4 linked regions of the Caenorhabditis elegans genome follow. The protein of the gene in region 2 interacts with the protein of the main gene of each other region in a pairwise test. Each region holds a gene or a part of one and is shown on either strand. Other genes may lie near its edges.

Region 1 (7,170 bases), on a different chromosome or scaffold from region 2:
TGAGGGAAAAGGGCACAAGTATTTACTTTTTGAAATAGATGAACTTGGAAAAAAATGTTTTTATTGTTTAGAAAATCGTTTAAAATATACTCTGAAGAGTTATGAAATATGTGGTTTTTGGCTCTAAATTATTTTCGACATTTTGAATTTTTTTGGCGTAAGAGACTATTCACATACAAGAAAAATGATTTTGATTTTCACTACAGGAGTGACATAACTTGACACTTCGCCTTGACGCTTTGTGATTTCCATTACACCTAGGCACATATATCATTGAAAGTACTAATCGTACGAAGTGGTGGCTACCAAACAATGTACTAATAACAGTAGAAGTGGTAATTGAAGGTCAAATAATATAAAGGTAGATCTACCGGTGGGTACCTCCTCACTCGCCCCGCGCACACCCAAATCCGGATAAAAAGAGCGACACACTGCACAGGAAATGAATATATGCAAATGGGTATTGTTCCGGGCATGGTCAACACCTCATTATTATTCACGTTTCAAGTATTGTATTGTTACTATTCGGTATTTGGCAGAGTAGTGCCGAATTGTGCATTACAGGGGGAATGAAATTGCAGTTATAGAGCTAGAACTTGGAAGAATACATATTGGAAAGCCTAAACGATAAAGGTACTGTGGCTGGTAAAAAATTGCACAATTATGAATAATGGTTTTGTGTTTCCGGTTTATGGAAACTGTGACTCAAAAAATCACACAGATTTCTGAAAAATTTGCATCTTAACAATTTAAAGAACTTTCCCAATACAGTAATCCACACATGCTCGTTCTATCGTAAAATCGTCGAACCTTTTATTACTTTTTATTTATTTATTAGGATTGTAAAATGTATCAATAAATTCGTCAAGATCGCCAGAGTACCACGAAACTATGATTGTGCGATCAATAAAATCTGCCAGAAACATCAAGTTTCTCATAAAATAAATCGCATTCTGTTACCACGGAGCACTATTCGATTTGAATATACAGAAGACAAAAAACTATGAATTTTTATTAGAAACAATACGAATAATATGGAAATATTACGGTGCATGGGATTTGGATGAAAAGAAAGGGAATTTCTATGAGATTCATAAGTACATTTGTAAGGATCCCGTTTTGAAATTTCCCCCCAAAAGTGCACCTTTAATAATTTTGTTTTAATTTTTTAAGTTTGAGCATTGCAGGGGTTTTAGTTTGCCGCAATGCTCAAATTATCTCAAAAAGTATTTTTTGGTTTATGAAAAGGTTATGAAAATCTTGAAAAGAAACACGTGAAAGTCTCAATTTAGAAACTTATCTGTTCAATTAATTTATTCTAACTTTTGTTCTGCGACCTTGTGTATTCGGTGAGTTTTCTCTTCGGCTCTTTTTTGGGGAAGCTTTGCCGGCATGTTGGCATAAAGACCTTCAAGGACTCCTGATTCTCAGGAATCTGGTGAAAACGTCCGGTTTTTCATGCTTAATGCAGATTGTTTTCTATCTGTAATTATGCAAGTTATTTTTTCAGAAAGAAACATGGCAGAAAATAGTGAAACACTTCTACAACTTGCCCATCTCGGTTACAGCATGCTCGCTCCAATGGTGTTCACCGGATACGTCATTGACAATGTGGAGGAAAGAAGAAGACTGGTGGATCATCGGGTGGTGGTGGAGCTAAAACTGGAGGAGGAGGAGGAGATGGTGCAACCAGTGCAAAGAGTGATAAGAAAGAAAAATCATCGAGTGCTCCAAACCCAGAGGGACCAAAGGCTCCAAGTGATAAGAATGCTGTCGCAGGGACACATGATCCAAATTATCAAACTCTTGCTGGAGTTGATGGAAATGTGTTCCAAGAGAAAGGAAAAGCTTCTCCTGTTGCTGCTGCTGGTGGAGCTTCTCCTGCTGCTGGTGCTCCAAAACCTGGAGGTCCTGGAATGGCTGGTGAGTAAATATTTCATTGGATATTCAGATTCAACTACGTACTAACAAACTAATCATATTCAGCCACCCACGACCCCAACTACCAAACACTTGCTGGAATTGGAAACGATTGTTTCGACAAGAAAGAAGGTGCAAAACCAGCTGGTGGTGGTGCGGCTCCAGGTGCTCCAAAAGCCGGTGGTCCTGGAATGGCTGGTTTGTTTTTGTAGTTCACACAATCAAAGTTCAAATTTAACTTTCAGCTACTCATGATCCGAACTATCAGACACTGGCTGGAATTGGAAGCGATTGCTTCCAGAAGAAGTGATTTGTGTCAACTCGTGCAAAATCGGTACAATAACGAAATTATGTGACAAATCAGCCTTTCATCTCGTCCTTCAAATAAAATTTTTCAGTTGAAATGTTTTGCTTTTTAGTTTTTTTTTCAATTTTCCAATCAATATTTTCATGGTGGATGGACTTTTCTGTTTAACAAAACGCCCTTATATGGTTCGGAGTCAGCACTAAACTTTCAGGGAGAAATTTTCAGTCGTTTCAATAGTTTAAACTGGGGGAACTGGAAGATGGACAGAATATCAAAGATTCTTAATTTCTGCATAGAAGCCGCAATAGGCAAGTTCCGAAAACGTTAGTATTCCTTAAAATGTTATTTAAAAATTGTCGAATCTTTCATTTTTTCAAACATTTTCATACACAAAAGCATAGTTTATCATTTACCAATTTACCAAACCAATAGGTGCTGTATTTCCGTACCCAACTAGTTTACTTGGAAAATGTATATCTTGGTTTATTTTAGAGATATCAATAAATGATCAACTACAAAATTATATAAAAAGATTTTGAAAATAAGTTTCAGTTGACAATTTTTGTATAGAACAAACGACAACTAAGATATAAGCTGTCAAAGTTGAACAATTGGGTGCAATACTTATAGGAGAAATACGGTAAATAAACTTTATTTATCAGGCTGCTTTTAGACAATTTATTTAATGTCCACCATAGCATCAGTTTCATTCATTGATCCAAATATTCAAATTTGAGCAAATTGAGTTCATGACTCTTCCCAAATTGTGTACCATTCCGTCACCACACCACAATAATCCGTCACCAGATACACCACCTTACCTGATCGTAAATCGTAATCTAAAAGGCGGCAACGCCACCTAATCCATTATTTCTATTAAAACAAAAAAAACAGCAGATGACCCCTTCTAATGACGTCATTGTTCTGAAAGATATCGGAGGCGGTTCGATCGTATTGTTGTTGTTGCGCAATGCAGCGTTCTGGTGAGTCTCTCCGCGCGTCTTGGATATACATGTCATTTGTGGTCACTCTTTATCGTGCACATTAGCGCATATGCACCGTGTGCAGACACATTTCGAATAGGTGACCCCTGTCTTTCTTTGGTCATTTCTATTTATTTTATAATATTTTGTTTGGCTCTTTTTCTTTTTTGAATCCTTTAGTTCTCTGTTGATCCCTTCTTTCTTTTTTTAATAGCAAAAACTTTAACTTCTAAAATGCTATTCTGGTAAATCAGTTCAATTCGCGCGCCTATTTTGTGCCTACATGCCTACCTTCTCCCACTTGTTAACACTTTTTGCTTGTTTGTTTTTCCAATTCTATAAACCTTTGAGGCAGGCACATGTGCCTGAAGGTGTGGCTGCCTACAATAGAAGAATTAGGTGCATCTATAGGCAAGCTGGGAGTATACTGTATCTAATTATATTTTTTTGTAGCTGTTCAACAAACTTTATATTCTAGACTTAAATACTTTTTTGACCTACCTCCACAAACTCGGCGGGATTTTTATCCAATTTATAGTTTTCATTCCTCAATCTTACTTCTTCTTTTCCCATTTTTTAGTCATTCCATCATTGGTTTTTGAAAGTTTTCTGGAATCTAACTCAACTTTCCTTTCGTTTCACTTTCAATTTATCGATTTTCAGATGCGTCTTCTGATTCTTCTCCTAATTTGCTCTGCATTCTCCACATGCTCAGTGCTCGACTCATTCCGTGCCAATGGAATCGAGTTTGAAGTTTACGGTGAAGGACGTCTGATTCCGGAGAAGCAACACTGTGTACCGTATACCTTGGATCTCAATGAGTTTGTCAACTCGTTCAACACGAACAATATGAATGAGTACAGTCGAGGGCTTCTTCAAAAGCGGATTTTCACGAGTTTCGACGCAATTTGCCGCAAATTCAATATCCAAACCGAGAACGAGCAACCAGAATACAATCTGACAGAGGATAGATCTCAAATGAGATATTTGGATTATTTCGACTACAATTGGAATAGTCTTCGATTCGAACGAGATCTCAAATCTCTATTTTTGGAGAATAAAATCAATAATCCATTCCTGGATTCAGTCACTGAAGAAACCATCAAAAGAGCCGGAGCCAACGATGTTCTAGACTTTGCTCAAAAGACAACGGTATTCCCGAAGACTTGCAACGTGAAACAGATGACTGTTCAGACGATGATTTGCTTCAATATTTCAGATATTCCACAATCTGGAACTATTTATGCGGTAAGTCCTTTGAGTGAATTTAAAGAAAAAAAAAAAATATAATTTCAGTTGGCCCATGGAGGAGAGTTCTTGCACAATGAGGAGGTCTATGCCTATTATGATATTCCACAATTCGTCCTGATCACTCAACAAGCTGTAATCCCAATTGAGCTTGAAAAATGCAAAGTTTTGGTTAGTATTACTGAATACTCTTTCAAATTAAATGTTTCAATTTTCAGTTCGGCACGTACATTTACTGCTTCGAAGAATTTGACACCCAATGCGACGTTCGTACTCTCTCGGATTGCCCAATTTACGCCTACAAGACCGAAGATGAGTTTGTCTTCCGCAGAAGCTTCGGAATCGGATATATTTACGCTACGACCGAGTCTGATGTTGATTTGTATCAAAATGGCACAAAATCAACCGTTCCTGGACGTGTCTTCGTGCTCCGAACTAGTTTTGGAACTCCAACCACTGAAAACGGATCACCAGTTATGATGCCCGATATGACACCTCATCACGAGCCGGAGAAGAGCCAATTCGCCGAATTGCTGCCAGAATCGCAGAAGATTCTGAAGTCCGACACTCCGACACGATTGTATACCACTCAACGACGTGGTGTGAACATGCTAAGCCATAAGCATTACGATCAAGGAGCCTGGGATGCCGTTCGAGACTTTTTCGGATTTTAATTGACTTTTAATTTTAATATTTTTTTCACCACGAGTACCAATTTCCATCAGGGATCCAATCCTTTTTTTCAAATTTCAATTTCCAATATGAATCTTTTAATAAAACAAGTTTGACAATTTGACACTTTATGCGTTAAAAAAAAGCAATTTATTTGAATTTCAGAGTAGCCGGAAGTTTTTTTGGGAAGTCAATAAAATGAGTATCAGATACATAGACAGAAAGTGTGTACCGAGTGGTGAATTAAAGAAAAGCTACAGAACAGAGAGCGAGATGAGTGAACAGAAGAAAGAAAAATAACACGTTGGGATGGAATTGACTAAAAAGATGAACAGGAGATGATGAGGAATTAAAGACGACTACAGTATGCACAACATGGGGATTTCAGGTGGAACAGAGCAAAAAAGAAACAAAATGAAAATGGTGAAAGATGAGTGAAGAAATGGTATAGTTCATATGTACACGCATTTCTATATACAGACGTTTGTAATGGGGACAAATACAGCCAACACTGCAAACCAAACTCGAAAACTTCTACTGGGCAAGAAAATGGGAATATTTTTTGCAGAAGGCATTCATGGTTTGGCAGTTGATGAGGAAGTCGGCGAGCACACGATTTGTTGTAAGGATTGCATATTATGGGCAGTTAACGAGGAAAGTATGGTTGAATCGACTGGTTCAAGGCACGAAGGACATGTGAATGACTTCATAAGCCATTCGTCGACGCATTCTTGATGAAACGAGTGCATGCAAGGAAGGAATCGGATTCTCTCTCCTGGCTCAAAGTCGATCATACAGATGGCACATCTGAAAATGGTTTTTTTAAAAATTTAACTAGAGCGCATTAATACTGATTATACAGGCGCGAAATTTTGCGCCAAAGTGCGATACACGGTCTCGACACGACAATTTTTTGTTTAATGCGAAAAGGTGTGAGCCTTTATAGAATACTGTATTTTCAAACTCTCCTTGCAGCGGAAATTTCATCATTTTTTAAGTTTCGTGAAAATGTATGTGATTTTTTAATCACATATATTTGAGTTTTCAAAAAAGAATTAAAAATCTATGAAATTTCCGTATATATCTATAGTTTAAAATTACAGTAATCTTTAAAGGCGCACACTCTTCCACAGTACACAAAAATTTTGTCGTGCCGAGACCGGGAACCATATTTTGTGAGTGAAATTTTGCGTCTGGGTGATAATAATTTTTTCAACACCTCTGCTGTAGCTCGAACAATAATTGATATTGGTCAGATTGTAGTTTGAATAATTTAGTTAATTTTTCATTTAGATCCGAATTTCAAAACTTACTCATTACTGGTCATATCTCCTCGAAATACATCAGCAGGGATTTGCTCGAGAAGTCCTCGAATTCGGTTTTTTTTTGCTTCGTCGAGTTCCTGAGAATTTTTTAAAATTTAATTAAAATTATTCTGCTCTAAACGCTCACTTTTCCCTGTTCCTGTGCTTGTCGTTGTCTAATTACGTTGTGTTGATAGAGCTGATTTACGTACGAACTCTGAAAATTTCAGTTTAATTAAATTCAGATTCTTCAATAATTTCTTACGCTTTGTTGCATCATTGACGGATTTGTGAAGCTCATCGCTGCGTCTGATGATCGGCTCCTGCAAAAATAGTTTATTGAACTTGTTCTATACTTCAAGCATACAATCTAATTGTATTTAAATTTTTAAAAAATCGACGTGTTTTGGTTAATACAACTTCCGTTTTCATTTTTGTGGTATATCACATCAGTTTAGCTTCATCGACATCTCACAGTATACTAGTGAATGACAAAGTAAATTACCGTCGTAGTGGCGTCTCATCGTGCTGTCTGACGAACCCGAACAACGACGGCAAGCAGTTTCCCATTGTCGATCGAAAATCAAGCTGAAAAAAAAGTCGAATATATGAAGATGTGACAAAATGAGGACATCGGAGTATTTCTCAGACGACTAAAGATGAGAATTTTCTACATGACTTTTCCGGATGGGTCTCGCCACGCGGGCAACAAGTTACTGTAATTCGTGTCAAAATA
Region 2 (8,035 bases):
TGAGAGAATTGAGCAAAAATTTAACCGTTCCCAGATTGCAAAATGTGCTTGTGATAAATTAAAAATCAGACTCAGATTATTGGGCTCGATTCAATTGGCCACGTAAACTTTTATTCCAGTTATGAAACGTTTTCCATCGAAGAAGACACTGGCATGTGGACATTTCTCCTAGCGGAGATCAATGGTTTGTCGGTTGGAATGGATGTTCCTCAGCCAAAGGGTTTGAAAGTTTGGGATCGGTTCAGAACTTCAGTGGGCACAATCAGAAGTTCCCCGAGTTAGAGTAAACGGTTAGTTGGTGTACTTTTCTGAATTTCGCTTCACACTTTTTATAGTTTTGAGTGAGTAACGATAGATTAGCTCACGAAATCTTTTCTGTAAGAAACATTGAGATAACAATATACGACTTATTGTTGAGGCGCAGTTTTCTTTTAACAAAAATTCAAGCAATTTTAGAATTTATTGTTTTCATAAAGCTCAGAAGGTCTTCGCTTGTTCAAAAACTTAGTTTATTGGTAATTTTCAAAGTTTTATCTCTTCAGATTCTCGTCTGAACAGTTCTCCACTACAAGCGATTGCGGTATTCGTTTAAAGGATCAAGCGAAGCTGCATTTTGTCTACGCTCTGCCTGTGAACACGGATCTTCTTAAAAAGTGAGTAAAAAGAGAACAACAAGGTGTAAACTAAGTCGGCATTTTTCAGGTTTCAAGAGTTTTCTGATGTGGATTGCGACCTGGGGATGTATTTTGATGTTCAAAGATCGATCTGGTGGTCTTAATCTAAAGAAGAAGCAGAGTACTTTGGGAAAAAGGAATAGCTCTGATACAGTTGGAACGCAATCAAAGAATACGCGGGATATTCGAGATGATGATGATGATAAGAAGGATGTGAAACCACGACCAACATCAAAGAATCAACTGCTCGACTCTGTCAAAATGTCTGCAGTTCTTGACACTTTTCTGACCGTCATTTAAAAAATTAAGACAAATTAGTTGGATGAGCTTCGCCAACGAATGGAACATGCTCTGTTGGCTTCCGATCAGAAAGTAAGAACACGTTTATCAGAAATAATATGACTTTATATTTTCTAGAGAATTTCCATCAAGGATATCAAAGAAATGCTCGAGGGAGTATTGGAAAAGATGGACATTTGATGAGCCACTTCTTCGAAATCCTACAACAAAGCCTCCTACTCGTACTTTGTAAATAAAGACTTTCATGATAAATCCTTTTTCGTGTTTCATTTTCTCTCTTTCACAGACTGAGATTTTCGTCCTTGAACGGGAAAACTTGCTCAACTTTGACTATTTACAGCTCTTTAGAAAAATAATTGAAAAAACTTTAGAAAATAAAAAATTACGGTACAGTGTTGCTATGGGGCTGCTGGGGGTTGCTGCCTAAGCAGCCCTACTTGTTTGGATATTATTGTAACATTAAATTCTGAGAATGCGTATTGCGCAACATATTTAAAGCGCAAAATATTTCGTAGCGAAAACTACAGTAATTCGATAAAAGGCTACTGTACGTATTGTTTTACGGAGGTCGAAAGAATAGTAGTCATTTAAATAGTAGTCATTTTTTTTTGTGTTCCCGTAATATAAGCAAGCATTTTTTCCATTTTTCAAGCGAAGGAACTAAAATTATAAAAAGAGGCAGACATTAACGTTAAGTGTAAAGATCGGAGAAACAAGCGATTAATCACCGCAAGTGTCACATGTGATTTCTTATTTCCCCGATAATCGGCATCTTATCTAGACTTATCAGTATCAGGTGAGTACTCAATTTATTATTTACAAGTTGTTCAATTTAATCAGTAATTTAGGCACGATTCCTATACAAGTTTCTTGTGCGAACTGGCGGTGGCGCATCGAAGTAGAGCTCTTCGATTAGTAGATCTTCAGGTTCAAATTGCCATTCGGCCGAGATAATCTGCAAAACCGTATGCTATGTATCTTTATTTCCGTACCCTTGTTTTTGGTAACCTAGGTCGAGGGATTTTGGACTTTTAAGAATGGAAAAATACACGTACGGCTGATAGAATAAATATGTGGGGAGGAGTATGGTACTGGTGAGAATTTTAAATGGGAGGAGGTGGCTGCTTACTGTGCATAATTTGAGAAGGTAATCGTACATCTGACAAAATATAGGCAACATCCACACAACAACCATTCTCAACGATGATGACGAGAAGGAGCGGCGCAGGTGATATAGTAGAACAGGTCAAGTCGAAGTGGTGTAATGGAGAGGAAAAAAACAAAAAGAAAGAAGATTGAATAGCATGACAAAAGATGCCATCATCGTCGCCAGCCTATCACTTGCTTTCTATATCAAAAAAATTTGTGAGGGTGGTGCGAAGGAGGGGAATGGAGGGCAAAGGTCTGACAAAAACAAATAAAATTGAGAAAAGAGTAGAAGTCATCATCATTTAGGAACTGAGCCAGTTATTTGACATGAAAAGACTACAGATAGTAAAGTGGTGATTGAGAAGAAAAGTTACTATTCGGTTTGTTGACGAACCAAAAGGCTAGTCGTCCAGGTTGAAAGCTCGGCGATCCGTTGACGTCCCTCGTTCAGAACCTGTAAGAATACTTATTTAGATAAACTTTTTTTAAAATGAATTTTAGATACCTCGTCGCGGACTTTGTAAACATCCTCAGCATCTGTGAAGTTCTTCTTCAAGTTCTCCAAGTAGTCAATGGTGGAGTCAATCTTAGTTCCATCACCGAAAACCTGGAAAAAAGAAAATAAATTATACTTTCTAGAATAGAACAACCAACGTTTTGTCCCTTCTCACGCAATGATTGAAGTTGTGTTGAGAGTTGCTCGGAGGTTGATTGAATGTGTTTCATCAACATCTCTTCTGGAGCAACTTTGTATTTTTGTGCCTCTTCCTCAAGTGTTTTCTTGAAATCAAAGACAGATGTGGAGAGCTCGTTTGACTTCTCTATGACCCACGTTTTCTTCTCACGGACGATGTCTAGCTGAAAAGTATCAATCTTAGATTCAATATATATTCATTTATGAAAATAAACTAACCAATACGAAGGATTGGCTGAGCTGCTCAAGATAATTACGGGCTCTCTCGTTGATTGGATCGATAACATGATCATGTGCCTTAAAAAGCTAGACGGATTTTCAAAAAATGTTACATTTCTCTACCTTGTTAGATACTCCTTGGACGATCAGTGAAGCCAGATTTTTGACTCGCTGTCCGATGGTGAGGTTCACAGATGGTGGGACCTCGATATTGAGTCCTTTCTGAACTGCTCCGTCAAGAATGTCAAGCAATGAATTAGTATTTTCTGTGATTTTCTCCACAGGAACCATGGCGATTCGTTGGGCCTGATGAAGAGCTGAGAAGATTCTGTGTTCGACAGCAAGCTCGGCTTCTTTGATCGTAGAAATCGCGCTGCTTCCCAACTTTTTAGCACTGTCCACTTGCTCAAGGACCAGGGCGGCACCTCCAGCACTCAAGGCAAGTGAGAATTGGGTCAAAACGACGGCAGCTCCAATTCCGAATGTACCACCAACGATAGCAGCTTGCTTTCCGCTCTCAACAGCTGTTTTGGCCCTCTCGGTTCCATAAGAGACTGCTTCATAAGCGGTGTTCTTTGGCTTAACGTAGTACGAATTGTATCCGTCATAGGCTTTTTGAGCCGCATAATTTCCGACAGTGGAAACCTTTTCTTCGGCTGAATTCAATGTGGAGTTAAGAAGTGGATGGAACTCTTTAGTCTTTGTGTATGCATTGATTGCCTGAAAATAAAAATTATTGTGAAACGAAGATTTTGGAAAGCGATATAAAAATACCGTTTGTACGTAAGCATTTCCTAAGACTTGATCGTAGTAGCTTTGGGCTTGGGCTTGTTGATCCTCAACTGATACTGGCTGCTCGACGTCAGTCATCTTTCTTGCTGCAAACAATCAATTGATAAAATGATAAACTAGAAAATACGTTCTCAAAAGAGAATAAAAGAAACGAGAAATCATGAAGAAGAGATAGAGAAACTGAGGACTGGTCAGCTAGTATTTGTAGGTCCTCCGTGAACGTACTTTGCCCCCAATCAGATGGTGGGGTGACTAAGTTTCGCAATAAGTTCACTTGGAAAATTGTGGATTCCCGCTACAAAACTACAATGTAGCCAAAAGACACGTTTCCTTAATGCTACTGTGTTTGAAACGAGACGACAACAAGTAAATGAGGGAAAAGTTCAGAAAACAAAAGAAATACTTCGCTTTTTCTACCTATTTTGCTGATTATCAGTGCAAGATAATAAACCTGAAAAATTTTCGCAGAAATTACTTGGAAATAAAAACTGATAACGGTCGTTAACGGGAGAATCTAGAAAAATCGCGAGAACGTCTGAAAGAAAAGGTAAACAAATTGAAAATTAAACAAATGGCGCCATTATTAAATTAAATAATTAAAACATGTCGGGACCATTAAGCAGAAAGGTGTGCGCCTTTAAAGATATACTGTACTTGGGGAGTACTGTAAAGAAATTTTAATCCGAAAATTGTTTGTTTCTTAACACAATCTTGTGTTTTTTTAAATAAAAAACATATTCAACAAATATATTTTTTCGCCGAAATTTGAAAATATTCCGCATAGTAAAACTGTCCTCGTTGTTTTATTCTCCTTTTCTCTCACTCTCCCACCAGACGCAGAGAAAAATACAACGTTCAGTGCACAGAACGATCGTGACTTTCATAAATTTTCTCTCAGTTTTCATTTAAAGTTTTTTATGTGGACAGGCTTCTTCCGAACTTCCTCTGCGTGCCTCAAGGAGAAAATGGTTAAGCCAAAAAAAGAGGTAATTAATTTTTAAAAAAATCAATCAAGAAAAAATAACGATATTACAGAAAATAGCGAATAAATGTGTTCCGACCGGCGAAATAGTTGATAAAAAAGCGCAGGAATCAGCGATTTTCTCCGATACTGAAGGTCGAATCGGACTGCATATTCACGCAAAACCGGGCGCCAAGAAGAGTTGTGTTGTAGGTAAGATATTTTTGATTTTGCAAAGAAGAAGAAACATCGAGAGAGAGATAAATGTTTACTAAATGTTAAATTCGCAGCAATCGGAGATTCGGAAGTTGATGTAGCAATTGGCGCAGCGCCACGCGAAGGAGCAGCCAATGAGGAGCTCATTTCATATTTAATGAGTGCTTTGGGTCTTCGAAAAAATGAATTACAATTTGATAAGGTAGGTATTTAAAAGGAAGCTAGAATTAGCAAACAAATAAATTGAAGTGAATCGAACGATATAATCGATGTTCTTTGAAGTTGAAACCAGTTTCTAAATAATCGAAAACACTTTCATGACTCCTTGAAATAGTAAAAGCGAATCAGATTATTCACGTGAACATTTGAGGGAATTCCCATGAATTTGTCTTCTTTTCAGGGAGCAAAGTCAAGAAGCAAAGTGGTGCTGATAGACACAAAACGATTGACCATTGACGAAGTACGGAAGAAGTTGCAGGAAGAAATCGACAACTGATTCTGTAAGAATTCAAGTTATTGAAAAAATTATTGAAGAAATCTGAAATATCTTTTAATCGTGTTATTATTAAACGAGTGTGCCCTGTAATTTCAAACTTTCGTTGCTGTGGTATTTTTATCGATTTTTCTCAGTTTTTCGAGAAAAAATGGCGAGAAAGCTGAAAATTCAACGAGAATTTGGCAGCATGCTGCAGCAATAAAAGGTTGAATCTACATTACTCTTTAAAGGCGCACGCTTTTGTATTTAACAAAAATTTGTCGTCGCGAGACTGGGTACTGTACTTTTGGAGTAAAACTCGCATAATTTCGAAAATTTTGGATATGCAAAACACATTACCCACATTAAACAAATATTTCACTTTATAGATTTTTAAATACCTGTTTCCCAATGAAAATTTGAAAAAATAATTTGATTGTTATTTCAATATTTCCATGTTTTCACTTTCTGAAAACAAATTTAAAAAAATTAAAGGGCATTGTTATAAACAAACATACTGTTTCAATAGAAAATATTTGATTGTTCACCTGAAAAAATGTTTGCTGGAAATGTATTTTTCATTTTTATAACAAAGCTCGCAGACAGTTCAATCGTTCGAAAATGTCTGGGCTCTCTGTTTACTTCCTCTCTCCGTTCCATTCATTTTTTGATTTCAAAAAACAAAACAAAAATGCATTTAAAAGACAGACAAACACGTGTGTTCAGTCCACTTGCTTTCCTTTTTCTCTACCATTTTATCTCTAATTTCACAAAATAAACCAACATTCATCTCCATATTTTCCCATTCATTCACTCTCCTCTCTCTATCTCTTCACAAATCATTATCAGTGATCATTGCAACATGACACTTTTTCTCGGGAGTCTCTTGTTCATTTATTGTACCTTGGTATGTTTTTTGACCCTTTATCTTTCCCATCATAACCCGAAATTAGAGTTTAGATATCAGTAATCTCCGCCAAGCCTGATCCTGAAATATGTGAAAAATATGAAGTTGTTGAACAAAAATTCAAATGTGGACCTGATGGCTACCCACTACATTTTGGTCTCAGAAATTGTCTAATGTTCAATAATCAAAGTGAGAATATTATCAGTTAAAAGCAAATCAAAAATCGTCAGGGGAATATTTCAAAACTACTAAAAAAATCAACAATTCTCAAAGCTTTTCAAATTGTCAAAAAATTTTGAAAATTGTAGCAATTTACCAACACTTACCAGAACGAAAGTTATAACTGGAAGTTTTAAAAAATAAATAAAAATTTTATGATATTTTTAAAGATTAAAAATTACGTTGGAAAATAATTAAAATTGTATAGTGTATACTTAATGTTTTTCAGGCACACTTGATAAGTTCACCCCAAAAGGACGGAAATTTGTTGGATGTTCTACTAATTGTCTAGTCAAAGCCATTGTTAACATTTCCGAAGTGAGTTTAATAATAAAAATATCATATTTTCTTATTAGTCTGGTAGAATATACTGTAGTTATGTGAAATTTGTTTTTAATAATTTATGTCTAATTGTTAGACTAAACGCTTTTTTCAGTCTAGAATGAACTAAAATAAGTTTCCAAGTTATCACTGCTAATACCAATTGCAGTCACAAATTTCATTTCAAATTTTCAGTACTCAACCAGCTGCACTCAAATCCAAGAAGAAGCGTTCAAATCACACGTCGATTGCTATCTCAATTGTAATTTCTGTGAAGTGTGCAAAACCGAAAAACTCGCATTCCTTGGAAGTTACGATTGGACAGATTTTCTAAGTTATGCTGCCGTTAAACAAGTTCTTGCAATTATTCGTAAATGTGGTATATTTAGTTGTTTGAAAGTGTTTGATGTTTAATATTATTTTATTCGGGTTTTTCGTTCGCTTTCCTTGGTTTTTCGTTGTCCCATCTCGAAATAAATGAAGCTCATTCAAAAATGCATTCAAGCGTTATACGCTTCCTTCTCACACTTTACTCACTTTTTGTTCATACTCACGAGGACATCACGAGTATATTTTTAAGTTTCCTAGGCGACCGATATATGTATGCCAACTCAGGAAATGTAATACTCTTTATCAGAAAGTATTATTTTCAATGACATTTTTCAGTTTTCCTCGGTGTCTTCTGCTTGAGAAACTTCAATAGAATTCACTAAATTTCTAAAATCTGATATTAATCGCAAAAATTCGTTAGTTTATTGAATTTTCGGCATGCCCATGAAAGATCTGACTTACTAGGGAATGACCAGAATAAGTGGAGCGATATTCAAAAAAAAATATTGTATCGGAAAGCTGACATTCTCTACTATAAGAATATGACTGAAATTTTTGCCCATTCGGGCTGGAAATCTGACGTTTTCAGACGTTTTCAGACGTTTTCAGACGTTTTCACGTTTTCAGACGTTTTCAGACGTAAAAATTTCAGATTTCCAGCCCGAATGGGCAAAAATTTCAGTCACATTCTTATAGTAGAGAATGTCAGCTTTCCGATACAATATTTTTTTTTTGAATATCGCTCCACTTATTCTGGTCATTCCCTAGTTAAATTAAA
Region 3 (10,301 bases), on a different chromosome or scaffold from region 2:
ATTTGATTTTCTCTCGATTTCTATACTTTTCTCAGGTTTGTACAGTGTTTTTCTTGCTAAGATCAATATTTTATTAGAAATGCATCAAATTTCTCAATCAAAACAATTTTTTCCTGCAAACCTTTTTTTCCAAATTTATTTTTTGAATTTCTCGTTGGAAACTAGTTGAAAATGCTAAAATAATTGATAAATCTTTGTTGCAGTATGTCCGAAGATCATCACGACGAGGAGCAATTCGACTCTGCCGAGTCCGGAGCTGCTGCTACTTTCCCGAAGCAATGCTCGGCTCTTCGCAAGAACGAGCACGTCATGATCCGAGGAAGACCATGCAAGGTAAAAAATAATTCAGTGAATTTTCCTAATTAGAAATTTTTTAGATCGTCGAGATGAGCACCTCCAAGACTGGAAAGCACGGACATGCTAAGGTTCACATGGTTGCCATCGATATTTTCACCACCAAGAAGCTTGAGGATATCTGCCCATCCACCCACAACATGGACGTCCCAGTCGTCAAGAGACGCGAGTACATTGTAAGTTGTTAATTAGTTTTTAAGAAGGCTTTCAAAAAAATCAACTTTGGACGGTTAAACAAATCTTTTGAAAAATGAGTTAATCAGCTGTAAAAAATGTTATTGATCAAATTTTCAGCTCATGTCGATCGAAGACGGGTTCTGCTCGCTCATGGATCCAGAATCTTGCGAGCTCAAAGACGATCTCAAAATGCCAGAAGGAGACTTGGGAAACACTATCCGTGAGGCTCTCGAGAAAGACGAAGGAAGCGTCTTGGTAATTATTTCGACATCCACCTTTTGAATCTGAAAATTTTGATTTTCAGGTTCAAGTCGTTGCTGCCTGCGGAGAGGAGGCTATTCTCGGATACAAGATTTCTACCAAGGAATAATTGCATTTATATACAATTTCATAATAAAAGCAGTTCCAGTTTAATCATCCCGCTTTTTATACATCATTCGAAAAACATCGGGCAATGAACAAGTGCACCTCCGCTGGTGTTGTGTAATGTGGGTGTTTTATGTGTCGTGTTGATTGTGATATCTGCTCACCAAACGAAAATGAATTGCTTGCAAACCGCGGAGGTGACATCTGTCCATGGAGTGTTAAATCAGATTCAGTTGTCAGACTTTGTAATCACAGTTCCTAGTTTTTGGAACTACATGGCCTGTGCAGCTTTTCCACCCTTTGTACACTACACCTTATTGCTTATTGAGTTGACCCCAGGTTGGCCGCGTGCCAATAGAGCTGTTCACTTTAAAACGTGTCCTCCTCCGCGACCTGCGAGCACCCCCTTAACCACGATAATATCTAGGTGCAGTATCAAAGACCCACCTTCCTCAAACCTCACTAGCCATCCTTCCTTCATCAATTGGCAATTTAAAAGAGTCGCATAAATTTCACAGTCACCCAGGAAGATTTCGTAAACTCTACGCTTCCATCATCATCTCGCCACATCTCGCACCTCCTGCCGCGTTTACACCCGTGTCCACTCTTTCATCAGCCTTGATTGTTTGCCTTTCTCCAAAACCACACATATATCCGTCCTAATCTAGATTACTGTAGTCCGTCTCCACCTGTTCTTACTTAAGCTTTTCCTATCTCCGGCTTGCCTTCACATTCGCAAACAAAGCCTGAGAATTTGATGAGTATTTGTTCCATTTGTTGCATCAACCAGCATGTTGTATAACTGTTCATTTTACGATTCCAATAAGTTTTTATGATGGAGTACTGTTAATAGCGTTTTTACTTTAAAATTCTCAAACTGGTTAGCAGACCAATTTTGGGTCTGCTAAATAGTTTTTATAAAAAAACCATTGACAGTACAGCCTCTAAAAAAGATTAAAATAATTTTTGAATTCAGAAAGTTCTTGTTTCATATAAATAAGAGCCATCCCTCTACACGGGTCATCTAGTAGCTCTAGGTCGACACCTGTTCGTAGCAGGTTTTATGAGCTCAACAAAGGTTGTAGGTGAGCCGTGCCAACGTCTCAGTTTCAAATTCCGAGTTGAGTATTACGAAAACCTGGGTATAAAACGAGGGGATGCCGAGAAAAAAAGAGTAGTGGACACACACACACATACGTCTCATCTTCTTATTTCTTTTCGTTTCTTCCCGTCCAGGAGCCACTTGTCGTCCCGTCGTCATTTTGAGTTCCAAATGATGAAAGATTCAATGAATCACGGAGACGCAGGGTCCCGTCGATGGCTCATTTTGCGTGTTTTAGTGGCGGGACACAGGAAGAAGTCGAAGATTCACAACATGTCGCAACTGATTCATCACTAGTGCCTTCTTGCTCCAAGAGCAATGTTTTTCTAATTAGTTTGTACTACTTGATAACTTCTTAAGATTTGTTCTACTACTTTTAAAAATTTGGTTTTGTAGCTAGAAATCCTGAAAAAAAAAACATTTTTGCTATGAACTTTTTTTTGGATATACTTTTATAAACAGCATCTAGAATTAGTTAGAGTACCTGAAAAATCAAAAATACGAAATAGTACTTGTATCCTATGTGCGAAGTTGCACGATTTTCATTGCAAAATTAGGGTCTCCGGTCTCGCGACGACCGAAGAAAATATAAATAAATTGAAATGAAAACGAGTGTGCGCCTTTAAGAAGTACAGTAGTTTTTTTTGAAAGTTTCCTTGAATTTTTTTTCCACTTCAAATTATTCGTTTCGCTTCGAGACCAAGTACCGTAATAGTACCGTAAATTTCGAATTCCTATTTTTTAAAAAAATTCTTTAAACTGAATTTAATCAAAAATCAATATTCAAGTTAAATTTTCACCTTTTTGGTGAGTTTCAATTTCTCGAATGATACAGTAATTTTGAAAAAATAATTTTTTCTTATTTCAAATAATCTAAAAAATAAAACTTCATATTCTTTCAATGATGCCGAAATTTACAAAAGCCATGGTAGTTTATTAGAATTTTTTAGAATTTCATGTCAAAAAATTGGAATAGTTTTCACCTATCATAATTTGGAATTTGTAATTTTGACCAAAAAAGTCCTACGAATTTTGTATTTAAATTCAAGAATCATAGAACTTCGAACCTGCAGGAATGTCCAAAATTGTTAGACTTTAATTTTTTGTTGGGGAATTGTTGGTTTTTTTTTTTGAAAAAGTGTTAGACCTATATTTGTATGAGTACAAATGCTTTAAACATAATTAGAAACAAAAACAATTTAAAAAAATCTTTAATTATTTGGTTGACTTCCAAAATTGTTGAGAACTTGCAATTTTTGGATATAGATGGAACCAATTTCAATTTTTTTAAATAAAAAAGTATTGCTATGATATTTGACAATTCATCTTCTTCTCTGTATTTTCCGTACCCCAATGGTTTGCACTTCAATATAAGTTTTAAATTTAAAAAAGTTGATTTCCTTGTTTCCAAAACACTTCTATGCCTTAAAATGTGATAAAAATATAATAAACGATTCAATATTAATTCAGAAAATGCATTCACGGATATTGTTACTACTTTTGATGTTCGCATTCAATGTCGGCCTAATCAATTGTGGTCAAAGTCTTGTATCACCTCAATCAAACTGTAAAATCAGGTAAAATTACCCACTATTGACAACCACCAATTATATCTTCTTCTTATAATTTCTAATTATAGGTGCGAAAATGGTGGAATGTGTGTTTTCGATTTGGAGCGACCCGATTTTCATTCATGCATCTGTCTTTTGGGGGTCTACACTGGGGACAGATGTCAGATTAGAAGTAACTCAAAATTTAGAGTTTAGGAAAAATATTTAATTTTGAAATTTCAGTTGCTCCCGAAGATATTGAAACAACTGCAACATCCGATGAAACATCACACCCAATGAATATCCAACATCAGCGTATGTTTCTTTAAAATTCAAATTATCATGATTTTGTCCCCATTTGAAACTTCACTTTAAAGGCACACACTGTTTTCTGAGTGGGTCTCGCCACAATTTCAGTAGAACTAAGCGCTAACAAGCGCTAAAACGGTGTTTTTCAATTTCTGAAATTTTAAAATAAAAAATGTTTGCCGAAGTTGCCGAACCCAAAACTTTTCGGCAACTTTTTTTTCAGTTTAAGTTGGTCTACATATATTTTGTTGGATTTATATTTCGGAGGGTTTTTGTTTAAAAAAAAAGTATTTTTACATTTACGGCGAATGACGTAATTGCCAATATTGACAAAATTGTCAAAAAAGCCAAAATTGCCAGAATTTCCAAAGTTACCAAAGTTTTCGATATTGCCAAAATCGACCAGTGAAGTATTATGCGCGCATCGCAAAGGAACTGTTACTAGGGTTTTTTTCCTGAAAGCTGAACAAAAACATTTAAATGTGCTATTCTGTTGTTCCATTTTTTTGTATTATTTTGTTTGAGAATGTAATTGGTCCTGACACGACAGCTGTCGAGATGTCAAAAGTTGTCAACCACAACACATTTTGTTTTAGATCAGCAATAAATTCTTTAAATTCCAGAATCTCAAGCTGATATTGATGATGCTCGACGACGTGACGATGAGAGAAAACGTGAGTACGAGAGACAAGTCGCCGAGAGGACACGCAAAGAAAAAGAGGATCGAGAGAGAGCATCAGATGAAGAGAGACGCCGACAACAACACGAACAGTATTGGAAAGAGGTAAGCCCTCCCCCCATCAGCAGAAAAGAACAGTTGTTTTAAATTGAAAGAGAGATAGTGAGCATCTCAATGAGCTCTCTATCACATCGAGCAAGCAGACACTTGTTTTGAACACATTCCACACCACCAACGGGAGGTGCATTTTCTGATTGAGCAAAAGATTTGGGCGGTATATGAATGATAGATCAAAGGGGACAATTTGAGGGGAAGTGTTCCAATTGATATTTGATTGAAAACTAGTTCCGGATTTTGGATTTGCCTGTTGCCGCCAAATGTTGTAAGAATATTATTGTCAAAAACATTGAAACATTTATTGCCCATGAGCCATATAAGGTGAATCATGGTGCAGTGGGGTGTGAATAAAGCAAAACATTAGATTTTCAAGAACCAATCTGCACAAAAATTAAATTTTCAAGTAACAAAGTGTGACAAAAAAAAGCATTATATTATCGGCGTAATGTTTTTATAGGTAGTTTTGGAATTTCGGCTCAGAATTAACCTTTGCTACATGCCAAAGTTTCCAATAATTCCAAAACTTACCGAGTTTCCTAAAATTACCAAAATTGCAAAAAATGCCAAAGTTAAAAAAGGTAATTAAAAAATTTCTAAAGCTGCCAAAATTGGCACAATATAAAATTGCCAACTTGACAATATTTCTAAAATGACGATAATTTACAGAATATACAAAACTGCCAAAATTCCAAAATTGACATAATTGCAAAACTGACAAATTTGTCATATTTCCCAATATTACCAATATTGATAAAAATGCCAAAATTTTTAAATTGACCAAAACTTATAAAACTGTCGGCCTTGCCAACACTTACCAAAAATGGAAAAAATTCCAAAGTTTCCAAAAACTGGGTTTTGGCAAAATTTCTGAAGTTGCCGAAATTAGCAAAACTGACATATTTGTCATATTTGCCAATATTGCCAATATTGAGAAAAATGGCCGAAACGTATAAACTGTCAGTCTTGCCAAATTTGCCAAATTTGCCAAAAAAAATTCGAAATTATCGGAAATTCTGAAAAGAATATCTACTCACTGTAGACGTGAATATTTTAAAATATCTTACCCTCCGCCCCCTCATTTAAAAATTTTCCTCTCAACAAAATATTTCTAGGAGACAGCTCGCCGTGAGCAACAACGAGCTGAAGCCGAACGAAGAATTCAGGAACAAAGAGTACGTGATGATGAGAGACGCAGACAACACGAGGCTGAAAGATCACAAATTGAAGAGAGACGTAGAGAGGTTTGAATGAAGTACCGTATTATTTTAATTCTGAATCCCTTTGCAGGAAGAAAGCCGCCGATTGGCTGCACAACGAGAAACCGATGAAGCAAGAGTAAGAGATGAAGAGAGACGGAGACAAGAAACAGAAAAAGAAGTAGAAAAGGAATTAAATGATAAAAGGACACAATCAATGAATGAACAATTTGAATATGAAGGTGGAGATGAAGAATATCCACAAGTTGCTGAAAAAGAAGATGAATATGATGAAGGGTATGAGACAGATAATACTGAAGATGTTACAATCACAACTACAAAAACTACAAAACTTATGAAGCCTATGGTAGAAGAGAGTAAAGGAGTAGATGGAGATGATGGAAGTGATATGATTATGGAAAAAGATGAAATGGAAGATGATAAAGAACCAATTAGAAAAGAAGATGAAAAACTTATTGATTCGATTAAACATGTCTTCAATAAAGCAGTCGATGAAACTGTAAAAGAACATCCAATGTAAGTTTTTTCTAAATCTAGTTCTAGATATCAACTATAATTATAATACATATTCAAAAGTTGCTATGTGAAACATGCTATGAAGCACCCTGATTTTAATCCGACGCCTGAAAAAAATACAGATGTTAGGAATTTTGTACACCCATTATCAGGGCACACCAAAAATGGGTGGGATAATTTATAAAATTTTATTTGAAATTTACATTTTAGCTGTTGGCTAAAATGTGAATTAAAATGCTCCCAGTACCGTGTTTTGTAAATTTCATAGTTATCAATTCATTAAGAATAAGTAAAATGTGATGAGGAAAAAAGTTTTTCGTGTGCAATTTTAATGTTAAAATTGATTTCTTAACCCATTAGGAAACTTTAACAGTTCCAGAAATAATATTTCTGAAAAATCATCTCAAAAAAAAACGTTTGATTTCTAATTGAATTTTTTTTAAGCGAGGAAGACGAGTATTGGGATGAAACTTCCAAAAAAACAGACGAAGATAGTTGGACGGCAGAAAATGAAGGAACCAAGAAAACAGAAGGTTTGTTAATTTTTTAAAATTAAAATAATTTCAAAATTTCCAGAAATATTTTTTTTTGAGTTTTGGCAATTTGTTCCCATTTTTAAAACTGATTATTTTTTGGTACATTGGGAAAAGTTACTTTTTAAACAAATTTTCGTGAATTGATGCAGGCTTAAGCCGTACACTGTGCAAATAAAAATAATAAAAATATTTATAATTGTAGAAAAAAAAGATTGCTGGTAAAACTAAGTTTCCACCATTTTTTGGGAGTTTAAATTTAAAAATTTTAAATTAATATAATCAAAAAAAATTAAAATCATGTTTTGACAATTACATTAAAATATCCGCCATGAGGGAACCTTATATCGTACTAGGAAGTTGAAAATTTATCAAGTTTAAAATTATTTTATTTTTTTCAGAAGCCGATGAATACGGTATGGAAGAAGGTACAGAAGGATGGATGATGGTGAAAAAAGAAAATGAAAATGCAGCGGTTGGAACTACAGTATCCTTGATTACTGTAACTTTCCTATTCACACTTATCTTCTAAATATCATGAAAAAAGTATTCTCAAACTCCCAGTTTCCCTGTTAAGTACCAAATGTTCTGCCTTATTTTCTAGTTTCACGGGTTTCTTTTCATTGAATTTATCACACCTACTTTTGCTCATTTCCTTTCATTTTCCTAACTCATATCTCACTTTTTTCTCATTTTTAAATTCAGTTTAACCTTACAGTATTAATTATTGTTTTTTCAATACTACTTTATCCTTGATAATTCCTAAAATAATAATAAACGCTTACGTAAACCAATAATTACCGTAATCCTCTCGGGATGTAGTCACCTCATCCAAAATTCAATTAACGTCGACAACAGAACAGGTGGAAAAGTGACGGCGAGAAAAGGAGCCGCCCGTCTTGTATGACTGACTACCCACTGATTTCTTTCTGCTTTGCATTTGTTATCTGATCTCCCACTAACGTCAGGTGAGAATACAGAAATTTCAGATGATTTTATATCTTGTAACCTGAAAGTTTCAGACTCAAAATTCCTGAAAATCCAAAGGAATGCCGATGGTTGTTGCCAAGAGAAATGCAAGGGAACGGACACGTGTACACACTGTTAATCAGGTTTGATCCTTTTTTTGAGTTATGAAGAAATTACAGTAGTTTTCTGATCAGTGATGTGAGCAGCAAAGTTTTTTGGCATATTTACAAAATCCCATTTTCTCATTGTTGTGCCCAAGTTTTTTGTGAATGTATATAGGAATGTCGAGAAATATTTATACTTTCTGGTACATTCATTTGGCAAATTGAGACTTTGAGGAAGATTTTGAGAAATTTTTTGAGCATCTCAATTGAAAATAAATGCATCTTTAGAGAGTGAAAACATCTCTTTATATGCCGATATAAATTTACAACAAAAAACTTTGGCACAACGATGAAAAAGGGGAATTTTGTAAATGTTTCGAAAAAATGTGCCGCACTTCTCTGTTTCTTGTACATCAAATGGCAAGATGTGCTTCCAAAAAAAGTAAGAAGCTTTTTTGTAGATTGCCATTTCAAAGGTGTTGTAAGTGAGGATTTATTATTTCAAATTATCGATTATCGATTATTTTAAAAAAAAAACTGATCTTGGCTGTTAAGATGTTTCAAAAATCGAAGGATCTCTCTTTTTTTGAGAATTTTACATACTTTCAATAATCCTATTTGACAAATGTCAAATTATCTACATACGTCAGCCGTGATTTTCTGTAATAGATTATAGAGACCCTTGAAACAAATAGTATTCAAATAGTTTAAAATTCTAAATCGTACAAAAATATATCCAAAAGTCCGTTCATTCAAATACTTCTTATTTCAGGCATTTCTTGTTCTGAAACAACATCTTCCAAGCCTCCGTCAATTCACAAAACGTGTCAGCAAACTTCGTATACTGAATGCAGCAATCACTTACATTGACACACTTCTTAAATTAATTCAAAGTTCAGAAGCAGTTCCTCAGTCTGTTATTTCTGCAACTCTTGGCCCAATTGTTCCAACTCCCGTTCGAGCTGTCCATAAAATCTCAAAACCAGACACAGTCATATCTCAACCAATCCGTCCCCTTGCACCAGTTCTTCCACGCCACGAAACGTATCTCCCAGCTCCAATAGCTGCGACGTGTGCTCCAGATCATTCTCTAGTCGACTATAGATCAACATTCGCATCGTCATTAGCACCACCAGTTCCAATGCAAATGCCTTCAGTATTCTCACCTCAACCAACATTCCCTTATATGAAGAGTCTACTTGATTATCCAACATATTTCTATCAACCATCAACTGCACCTCCACCACCACCTGCACCAACTGCACCACAATCACATTTGATTGTTAATAATCAACTTGTACCAATGCCCTCTTATCAATGTTTTTGAATAAATACATTTTATTTCTATATGTGCAGTGGCTGTTCAGACTATTCAGGTTTCTCGTAAACTTTCGCTATTTTCCAAAGAATATTACTCAGAAACCGGACTTTTCGAAAGCGAAAATTTCATTTCCGAATACTTTTCAACAACCCACCTCAAACATGCCAAAAGATGAAGCAGCGGACATTTGGCGAGTTCATTTATGACAAAAAACTCTTGAAATACGTTTTCTACAAGGTGTTAGTTGTACCTCAATAAAGGGGAGCGGCAAACGATTTTTTCCGGCAAATCAGCAAATTGCCGGAAGAACGGCACTTGCAGAAAGTTTTCAGCAAATTGTGGTTTTGCTCATTTTTTTTGGAAATTTCAGAATTTTAATTTTAATCGGAAAATTGTACGCATCCTATGATTTATTTAGAAAATTTATTTAGAAAAATAATCAAATTCTATGAAAAAATCTTTTTAAAGACGAGAAAAAATGTGAAAAAGGCACAGTTCTTTGGCATTTTGCCGGAATTGGTAATTTGCTGGAAATGAACATTTCTGGCAGTTATCCTAGACTGGATTATCGACCACAATCCCCCAGATCGGCTTAAACGGAAGCCCAGTGGGAGCACCACCAGGAATGGTGTACCTGATTCCCAGATCCGCAGTGCATAGAGCAATCGTTTAAATAATATCAAGCTTTGAAAATACCTCCTTTTTTGCAATTCCACAAACTTTTTGAAATTTCAATAAAACCTTAGCACTGGCGGGAAACTCAGATTTTTTCTTTTATAATGTTTACTCTAGCTACTGTTTTCCTAATTTATTTAACGGTTTTTCTATGATGGAGTCATAACTTTTTAAAAATTAAACAATTTTCTACACGATCCAGAAGTTTAACGTGCTGCTTCAAATGGAAAAAAGAAGGAATTGGCTTCTTACAAAAACATATATATGAAAAATTTTTGTACCTCACAGTGAAAATAAAAGTCTGTCCATAAC
Region 4 (6,487 bases), on a different chromosome or scaffold from region 2:
GTTCTCCATGAATTAGACGCTCATCACATGTAAGTTTTTTTCCAGGCGTATTAGTTAAACTATTCATATTTCCAGATTCGAGTTGTCCCAAGTGTCGGCGGAATTGGCCGCTTTGATCAACCCTGCTCACCACACATTTGACCATATTGAGGTCAACATTTCAAAAGAGAAAAAATCAATATCTTTCTACAATAATTGGCAAAAGGATCGACCACTCACTTTCAACTTCACCTCTAAACGTGCAGTTTTTAATAGGACTGTGAAATTCGGAGATCTAAGATTGCCGATGAAGTTAGTGATACTATTCATTTTCAGCTGTCAATAATCGACAAATATTCCAGATACGACCCGAAAACCAGATATCACTGCTCCACGGACATCTATGAAGAGTGTCTACAACCCTGTCTCGATTTTTTTGCCACAATTTTCAGTTGCCGTGGTGGAATCGCAGTGGTCAATATGGATGAATGTACTATGAGAGTGAGACAACATACTGACCATCCAATTTTCAAAAATAACCTCGTGGCGAAATTGTCGGGAAATATAAACCCGAACGAACACGTCAGTCTGCAGTCATCAATTTTTCCGGAATATGTGCTTTTGGAGGGAATCATCGTTGAGTTTTACTTCTCCATACCTCTCTTCGATCTGACTCAGGTAAGGGCTCTTTCTAAAAGCTTCGTCGTCCTCTGGCTGTAATCACTAAAACGAGTTCAGTTAGGAATTCTTTTCAGTTAATCAATCCGTGATTATTTTCATTCCGTGATTATTGTCATTCCGTGATTATTTTCATTCCGTGATTATTTTCACTCGGGAATCGCTCGCCCACTATGGGGGAGTCTACGCAAGGACAACGCAAGGACAAGGACAACATTCTAATGGAATGGAAACAATTGCCCGACTGCACCAATTCTAGTTCAAGCGAACAATGATAACTTTTGTATTCTGTATTCCTTCACGTCTCCCAGCGAGCGTAATAAATTATTATAATAATAATTATTATTTTAGTAACAAGATTGTTCAATTTTCAACTGAATTTGTTTGAACTCTTTTTAGTTTTTCAAATCAAGTCAGTCAGTCAAATCAAATCAAGTTTCAAGCATAATTTTTGGTTTCTTAAAAAGTTGCATAGTTGACCATGGAATTTCAACTAAAAACCTGAAAGTTCAGAAAGTAGAAAACTCAATTTTTTTGCAGATCTTTGACCTGAATCGTGTGTGCATCATGGATGCAAGATGGGTCACATTTGGATATGTTATGGGAGCAAATTTCACTCGGCTTATGTTGTCAAACACTAAGTGGGATGTCGAAACTGTGAACCAGTTCATCTCGCGTTGGTTCCGTGATGGTCGATGGCCACATTTGGAGAGATTTGAGCTTCACTTCACTCCCGATTCTCATGGCTGCTTCAATCCGACAATACTTGGATCGGGTTCGTATCCGAAGAAATGGAATCATCGACGCTCATCCCTGGATTCTACGAGAAGAAGATATTATGTGTAAGTTCTGGTAATTTACACCGTTTTAGTGTATTTTTCTCACGTTTTCAGAATGGACTGCCATCGGGACCCGTATCTCCTGGACACTAAAAACGATCTCGACGTGACAAGAGGTGACGGAAAAATCGCGACAATTGTGAATTCGCCTCGAGCATTTTTGTTCCTCGTCTGGCCCGATCCTCCCGTTGAGCATAAATATCGTATCGAGACTGAACCAATTATTCATAACTTTTGAATTATTTCGTTTATATGTATTTTAACTATTTTGAAAAATATATCATTTCTTTGTATCACTTAGTTCATCTCAACAACATTTCAAAAAAAAAGATAGCAGCCCTGAATTGACACAATTTACAGTAACTTCATGCAAATAATGCATCGTAAAACCTGGGCTAACAAGGCATGTGAAATGGGAAACTATCAATAGATTGGGTGGAACCGGTGAAAGTCAATAATATTTTCAAGGCTAGCTTTCACTCATAAAAGCTTACTGCTGCAATCAGTGACAATTAATGCAACAGCAGTATTCAAAACTCTGTTTGACAAGTCTTCAAAAATCGATTTTTACATATTGGGAATATTGTCTTTTTTCAATATAACTATTTTCCCGTTTCATTCGTATTCTTATAATACAAATAGGGAACGAGATGAAAAGATATGATCTCTTACCTCATATTAAATGCAGTTGTTTTTCCAGACATTTTTTCCATTAACCAACCGAATGTTTCAAATTGTGCAGAAATCCTACTTCCCATTCGTATTTTTTGCTGGCACCGTGATGTTTTCTTACCATTTGTAAGCCATAATTTGCATTTAATTTTAAGTTTTTTACGGTGTAAAAACTTAATCAGATATGTATGTACCTTACGCACAAAGTAAGAAAGTCTTTCAAAAAATCACCTAGCTTTTGTTGCAGAATATTATCTTTTAAATTTCCTAAAAGCTTTTGAAAAATTCAACCAGTTTCCTTTTTTTTGAAACTTTAAAGAATTTTCAGAAGAGCCTCAAAAATTTTCAAAACTGCAGTTTTTGAAATTGTCAAAACTTTCCAGATTTCTAATCGTTTCCGGGTTTCTAGAAAAAATTTCTCCAACTTTCCCATTGATTTCCAAGTGACTAATAGGCTTCAAATACTCCTGAAATTTCTGGGTTTGTTCAAACTTTTTCGAGTTTTCCAGAACATTCTCAATGGTTCTAAACATTTGTAGAGTTGACCAGAAGAAATTTCTAAAGATCTTTTAAAGATCCTAGCTAACTTTAGCAAATTCTTGAATGTTTCCAAACTTTCAAAAATGCTCCATTAATATAGGATTCTCTATTTTCAGAAATTTTCAGAAATTTCTCAGTGTTTTCAGAAGTTTGTATTACATTTTGAAGAGTTAAGGAAATTTTCAGAAATCAAAGAACTCGAAAGAACAAATCTGTCCCATTTTTGATAGCTCGATCGAACCCAAAAATTTGAACGGGTTTTTAAATACACATAGGATCACTTGAAATATCCAGAATCGCGATTGTGAATTTCCAGTGATGTACGAAGTAGGTTTCCGGAATTTTAAAAGTACAATGCTGCAAAGTTTAGAATGTATTTATATTTTTAAATATTCTTATTCTAACAACTGCACTTCTTTACGTCCCCATAGTTATAAAAATCTGGAAGCTTGATCATCGCACAAGTAGACAAGGTTTTAGGCAAACAGTTACAGTATTCGCGTTCAAGATTGCATGTTATATGTCAAACCCACTTTATATGAAACATTTACATTCAGATTATCATTCCAATTTTGTTAGTCAATTTTCTCTGGAGTAAAAACACACACAAGGGTGCAATTTTACGACTCTTTGAAAAACTAGGTGTTTTTATGAAACAAATTAATATTAAAATTATCTCCATAAAATAAAAATAAACAAACATTATTAAAAACAAAAAAATATTAAAAATTAAATTAAAAATTAATTTTAAAAACTATCCTCATATTCGTAAAAACTTTATTTCAGTTTAAAAACAGAAGAAAAATTGGATTTTTAAAAATGTGGCCCTAAAGAGGGCCGTTGGGTTCGGTTAGATTGCTTTCAGCAATTGAATGCTTACTTGCTGGAGGTGTACTTGGTGACAGCCTTGGTTCCCTCAGAGACGGCGTGCTTGGCAAGCTCTCCTGGCAGAATCAAACGGACGGCAGTTTGAATTTCGCGAGAAGAGATGGTGGATCTCTTGTTGTAGTGAGCAAGACGAGATGCCTCAGCAGCGATACGCTCGAAGACGTCGTTGACGAAAGAGTTCATGATAGACATAGCCTTGGAAGAGACTCCAGTGTCTGGATGAACCTGCTTGAGTACACGGTAGATGTACACAGAGTAGGATTCTTTACGGGCATGACGTCTCTTCTTTCCGTCCTTTGGCTTGGTGACGGTCTTGGCGGCTTTCTTTGCTCCTTTAGCAGACGGCTTTGGTGGGGCCATTTCGATTGATTGGACTGGTCGTTGGACAAGTGTAAAGAATGGGTTGATGGCCATTTCCTTTATAATAATTCATCGGTGGGAAGGAGGAGCCTATGGACATACTGCGGGGACACATTTCTATGTAGTCTCCCCAGCCGAATACGCAGAGTGCACAGTTTTTCTCGGTCACTCTGCCACCTCCTCCACCTGCCTTGTGTCTATGTGCCCGCCTAGTCACCGCAGTTGTGTTTAAAAGAGTGTGGTCTAATGGTCTCCTTCAGATCGTTTTTACATCTACCAACCAATCATCACCATGTCTGGACGCGGAAAGGGAGGCAAAGCCAAGACCGGAGGAAAGGCCAAGTCCCGCTCATCAAGAGCCGGACTCCAATTCCCAGTTGGTCGTCTTCACCGTATTCTCCGTAAAGGAAACTACGCTCAACGTGTTGGAGCCGGAGCCCCAGTTTACCTGGCTGCCGTTCTTGAGTACCTCGCTGCTGAGGTTCTCGAGTTGGCTGGAAACGCTGCCCGTGATAACAAGAAGACCAGAATTGCCCCAAGACATCTCCAACTGGCCGTCCGTAACGATGAGGAGTTGAACAAACTGTTGGCTGGAGTAACCATCGCCCAAGGAGGAGTTCTTCCAAATATCCAAGCTGTTCTTTTGCCGAAGAAAACCGGAGGAGACAAGGAATAGATGCCTTCTTAAAACATTTTACCGAACCCAACGGCCCTCTTTAGGGCCACAAATATTTAAAATCCTCTATTGAACATGAATAAAAATTATTTTTATCAATGGTTTTTGCACGTACTTTATTATAAATTGAAAATCGTTTGCAAAGAAGAAACTTCTTTTTGGATTTGGTTGATTCACAAAACGATTCGTAATTATTTTCTTCTGTCTTACAAATGTTAATTAAAATTGGACGAGGTCATTCCAAATTCAAATAAATTGGCGCCAAATTCAAAGTTGTCATTGAATGTGACCTTGTTGAACAATATGATTTTAGAGAGGTTTTCCTGGTTGAGTATTTGAATACACGTGGTTGCAAATTCCTTAGAAACAAAGATATAGTGACGTCACAATACCTACAATTGTTTGGACCTGGATCTGACTCAGATAGGCAATTGATGACGTCATTAATGACACTTTCTGTGAGGACAGTAAAACATTTTGATATTATAAAAATATACTAAATTGTATGGCTCTAAAGTTTCCTGGTTTTGTTCTTTTTTTTTAATAAGTTAAAAAATAATGAATAATTTATTCAAATTGGATTGAAAATGATTGGATCATATGTATGTGGCCCTAAAGAGGGCCGTTGGGTTCGGTGGGGTTTGAATTGAAACGGTCTCAAACTTTCTGAAAATCAGAAATTTAAGCACGTTCTCCTCGGATACGTCTGGCCAATTGGATGTCCTTTGGCATGATGGTGACTCGCTTGGCGTGGATTGCGCACAAGTTGGTGTCCTCGAAGAGTCCGACGAGGTAAGCCTCGGCAGCCTCTTGAAGAGCCATGACAGCGGAAGATTGGAAGCGGAGGTCGGTCTTGAAATCTTGAGCAATTTCACGAACAAGGCGTTGGAATGGCGCTCTGCGGATGAGGAGCTCGGTAGACTTCTGGTAACGTCTGATCTCACGGAGAGCGACGGTTCCTGGACGGTAACGATGTGGCTTCTTGACTCCTCCAGAGGCTGGAGCAGACTTGCGAGCTGCCTTGGTGGCCAGCTGCTTTCTTGGAGCCTTTCCTCCGGTCGATTTGCGGGCGGTTTGCTTGGTACGAGCCATGTCAATTGGAATCCGATAAGGACTGTGAAGAAAGGAGACCCATACACTGCATTTATACAAGGTTGTGGTGGGAAGGCGGGGAGGTGAGAGAGTGGGCAAAAGTGAGAGAGTGCAAGGATATCAAGACATATGTATCCCCGCAGTGTCTCCGCCTTCACACCGCATAGTGGTATAAAAGGGGCAGCCAACTGCCCATTTCTTCATCTCACTTGTGAGTCTTCAAGTCAACTGCAACAATGTCCGGACGTGGAAAGGGAGGAAAAGGCCTTGGAAAAGGAGGTGCCAAGCGCCATCGAAAGGTCCTTCGCGACAACATCCAAGGAATCACCAAGCCAGCTATTCGCCGTCTTGCTCGTCGTGGTGGAGTCAAGCGTATCTCTGGACTCATCTATGAGGAAACTCGTGGAGTTCTCAAGGTATTCCTCGAGAACGTCATCCGTGATGCCGTCACCTACTGTGAGCACGCCAAGAGAAAGACCGTCACCGCCATGGACGTTGTCTATGCTTTGAAGCGCCAAGGAAGAACTCTGTACGGATTTGGAGGATAATTTTATCTCTCGATTTCATACAACCAACCAACCGAACCCAACGGCCCTCTTTAGGGCCACAAATCTAAAATCCTAATTTTCTGTGCATAAATATGTGTTCCTTACTTATCCTTGAGTTTATATTTTTGCCTTTTTTGCGTTGTTAAAGCAATGTTGAAAAGTGTCTGCTTCCATACCAGAACAGATCATAAAGGAGGTATTAGTGACGTCACCAA

The links.
Region 1: the proteins of plin-1 (region 2) and C01G6.3 interact in a two-hybrid assay, tested with the Caenorhabditis elegans proteins (one large-scale study listed by BioGRID).
Region 3: the proteins of plin-1 (region 2) and T05G5.1 interact in a two-hybrid assay, tested with the Caenorhabditis elegans proteins (one large-scale study listed by BioGRID).
Region 4: the proteins of plin-1 (region 2) and his-3 interact in a two-hybrid assay, tested with the Caenorhabditis elegans proteins (one large-scale study listed by BioGRID).

What each region holds. Positions count from the first base shown.
Region 1 is NC_003280.10:9,266,021-9,273,190, forward strand, and holds C01G6.3 (Lipoprotein), read left to right. Parts: upstream 1-3,867; 5' UTR 3,868-3,873; coding exon 3,874-4,458; intron 4,459-4,506; coding exon 4,507-4,629; intron 4,630-4,676; coding exon 4,677-5,132; 3' UTR 5,133-5,247; downstream 5,248-7,170. Other genes in the region: C01G6.2 (uncharacterized protein), read left to right, coding at 1,519-1,923, 1,987-2,118, 2,166-2,276; C01G6.4 (RING-type domain-containing protein), read right to left, coding at 5,706-5,937, 6,444-6,532, 6,583-6,651, 6,700-6,757, 6,940-7,004.
Region 2 is NC_003279.8:7,053,079-7,061,113, reverse strand, and holds plin-1 (Perilipin-1 homolog), read right to left. Parts: upstream 3,923-8,035; 5' UTR 3,907-3,922; coding exon 3,811-3,906; intron 3,757-3,810; coding exon 3,160-3,756; intron 3,124-3,159; coding exon 3,037-3,123; intron 2,982-3,036; coding exon 2,778-2,981; intron 2,731-2,777; coding exon 2,629-2,730; intron 2,578-2,628; coding exon 2,518-2,577; coding exon of another isoform or gene 2,497-2,517; exon of another isoform or gene 1,947-2,496; intron 1,930-1,946; coding exon 1,819-1,929; 3' UTR 1,770-1,818; downstream 1-1,769. Other genes in the region: W01A8.2 (UPF0235 protein), read left to right, coding at 4,746-4,814, 4,864-5,002, 5,080-5,207, 5,406-5,501; W01A8.8 (DUF19 domain-containing protein), read left to right, coding at 6,343-6,387, 6,441-6,576, 6,836-6,924, 7,123-7,341. UniProt on the Caenorhabditis elegans protein: Lipid droplet-associated protein which plays a role in lipid droplet clustering.
Region 3 is NC_003281.10:9,736,508-9,746,808, reverse strand, and holds T05G5.1 (Prothymosin alpha-like), read left to right. Parts: upstream 1-3,469; 5' UTR 3,470-3,472; coding exon 3,473-3,576; intron 3,577-3,638; coding exon 3,639-3,742; intron 3,743-3,792; coding exon 3,793-3,864; intron 3,865-4,481; coding exon 4,482-4,642; intron 4,643-5,766; coding exon 5,767-5,895; intron 5,896-5,941; coding exon 5,942-6,387; intron 6,388-6,831; coding exon 6,832-6,920; intron 6,921-7,321; coding exon 7,322-7,452; 3' UTR 7,453-7,715; downstream 7,716-10,301. Other genes in the region: iff-1 (Eukaryotic translation initiation factor 5A-1), read left to right, coding at 204-333, 378-530, 649-786, 836-901; hlh-4 (Helix-loop-helix protein 4), read left to right, coding at 7,970-8,032, 8,766-9,320.
Region 4 is NC_003283.11:16,036,560-16,043,046, forward strand, and holds his-3 (Histone H2A), read left to right. Parts: upstream 1-4,248; coding exon 4,249-4,632; downstream 4,633-6,487. Other genes in the region: T10C6.10 (F-box domain-containing protein), read left to right, coding at 1-29, 76-291, 342-657, 1,198-1,499, 1,551-1,734; his-4 (Histone H2B 2), read right to left, coding at 3,585-3,956; his-2 (Histone H3), read right to left, coding at 5,314-5,724; his-1 (Histone H4), read left to right, coding at 5,961-6,272. UniProt on the Caenorhabditis elegans protein: Core component of nucleosome. Nucleosomes wrap and compact DNA into chromatin, limiting DNA accessibility to the cellular machineries which require DNA as a template.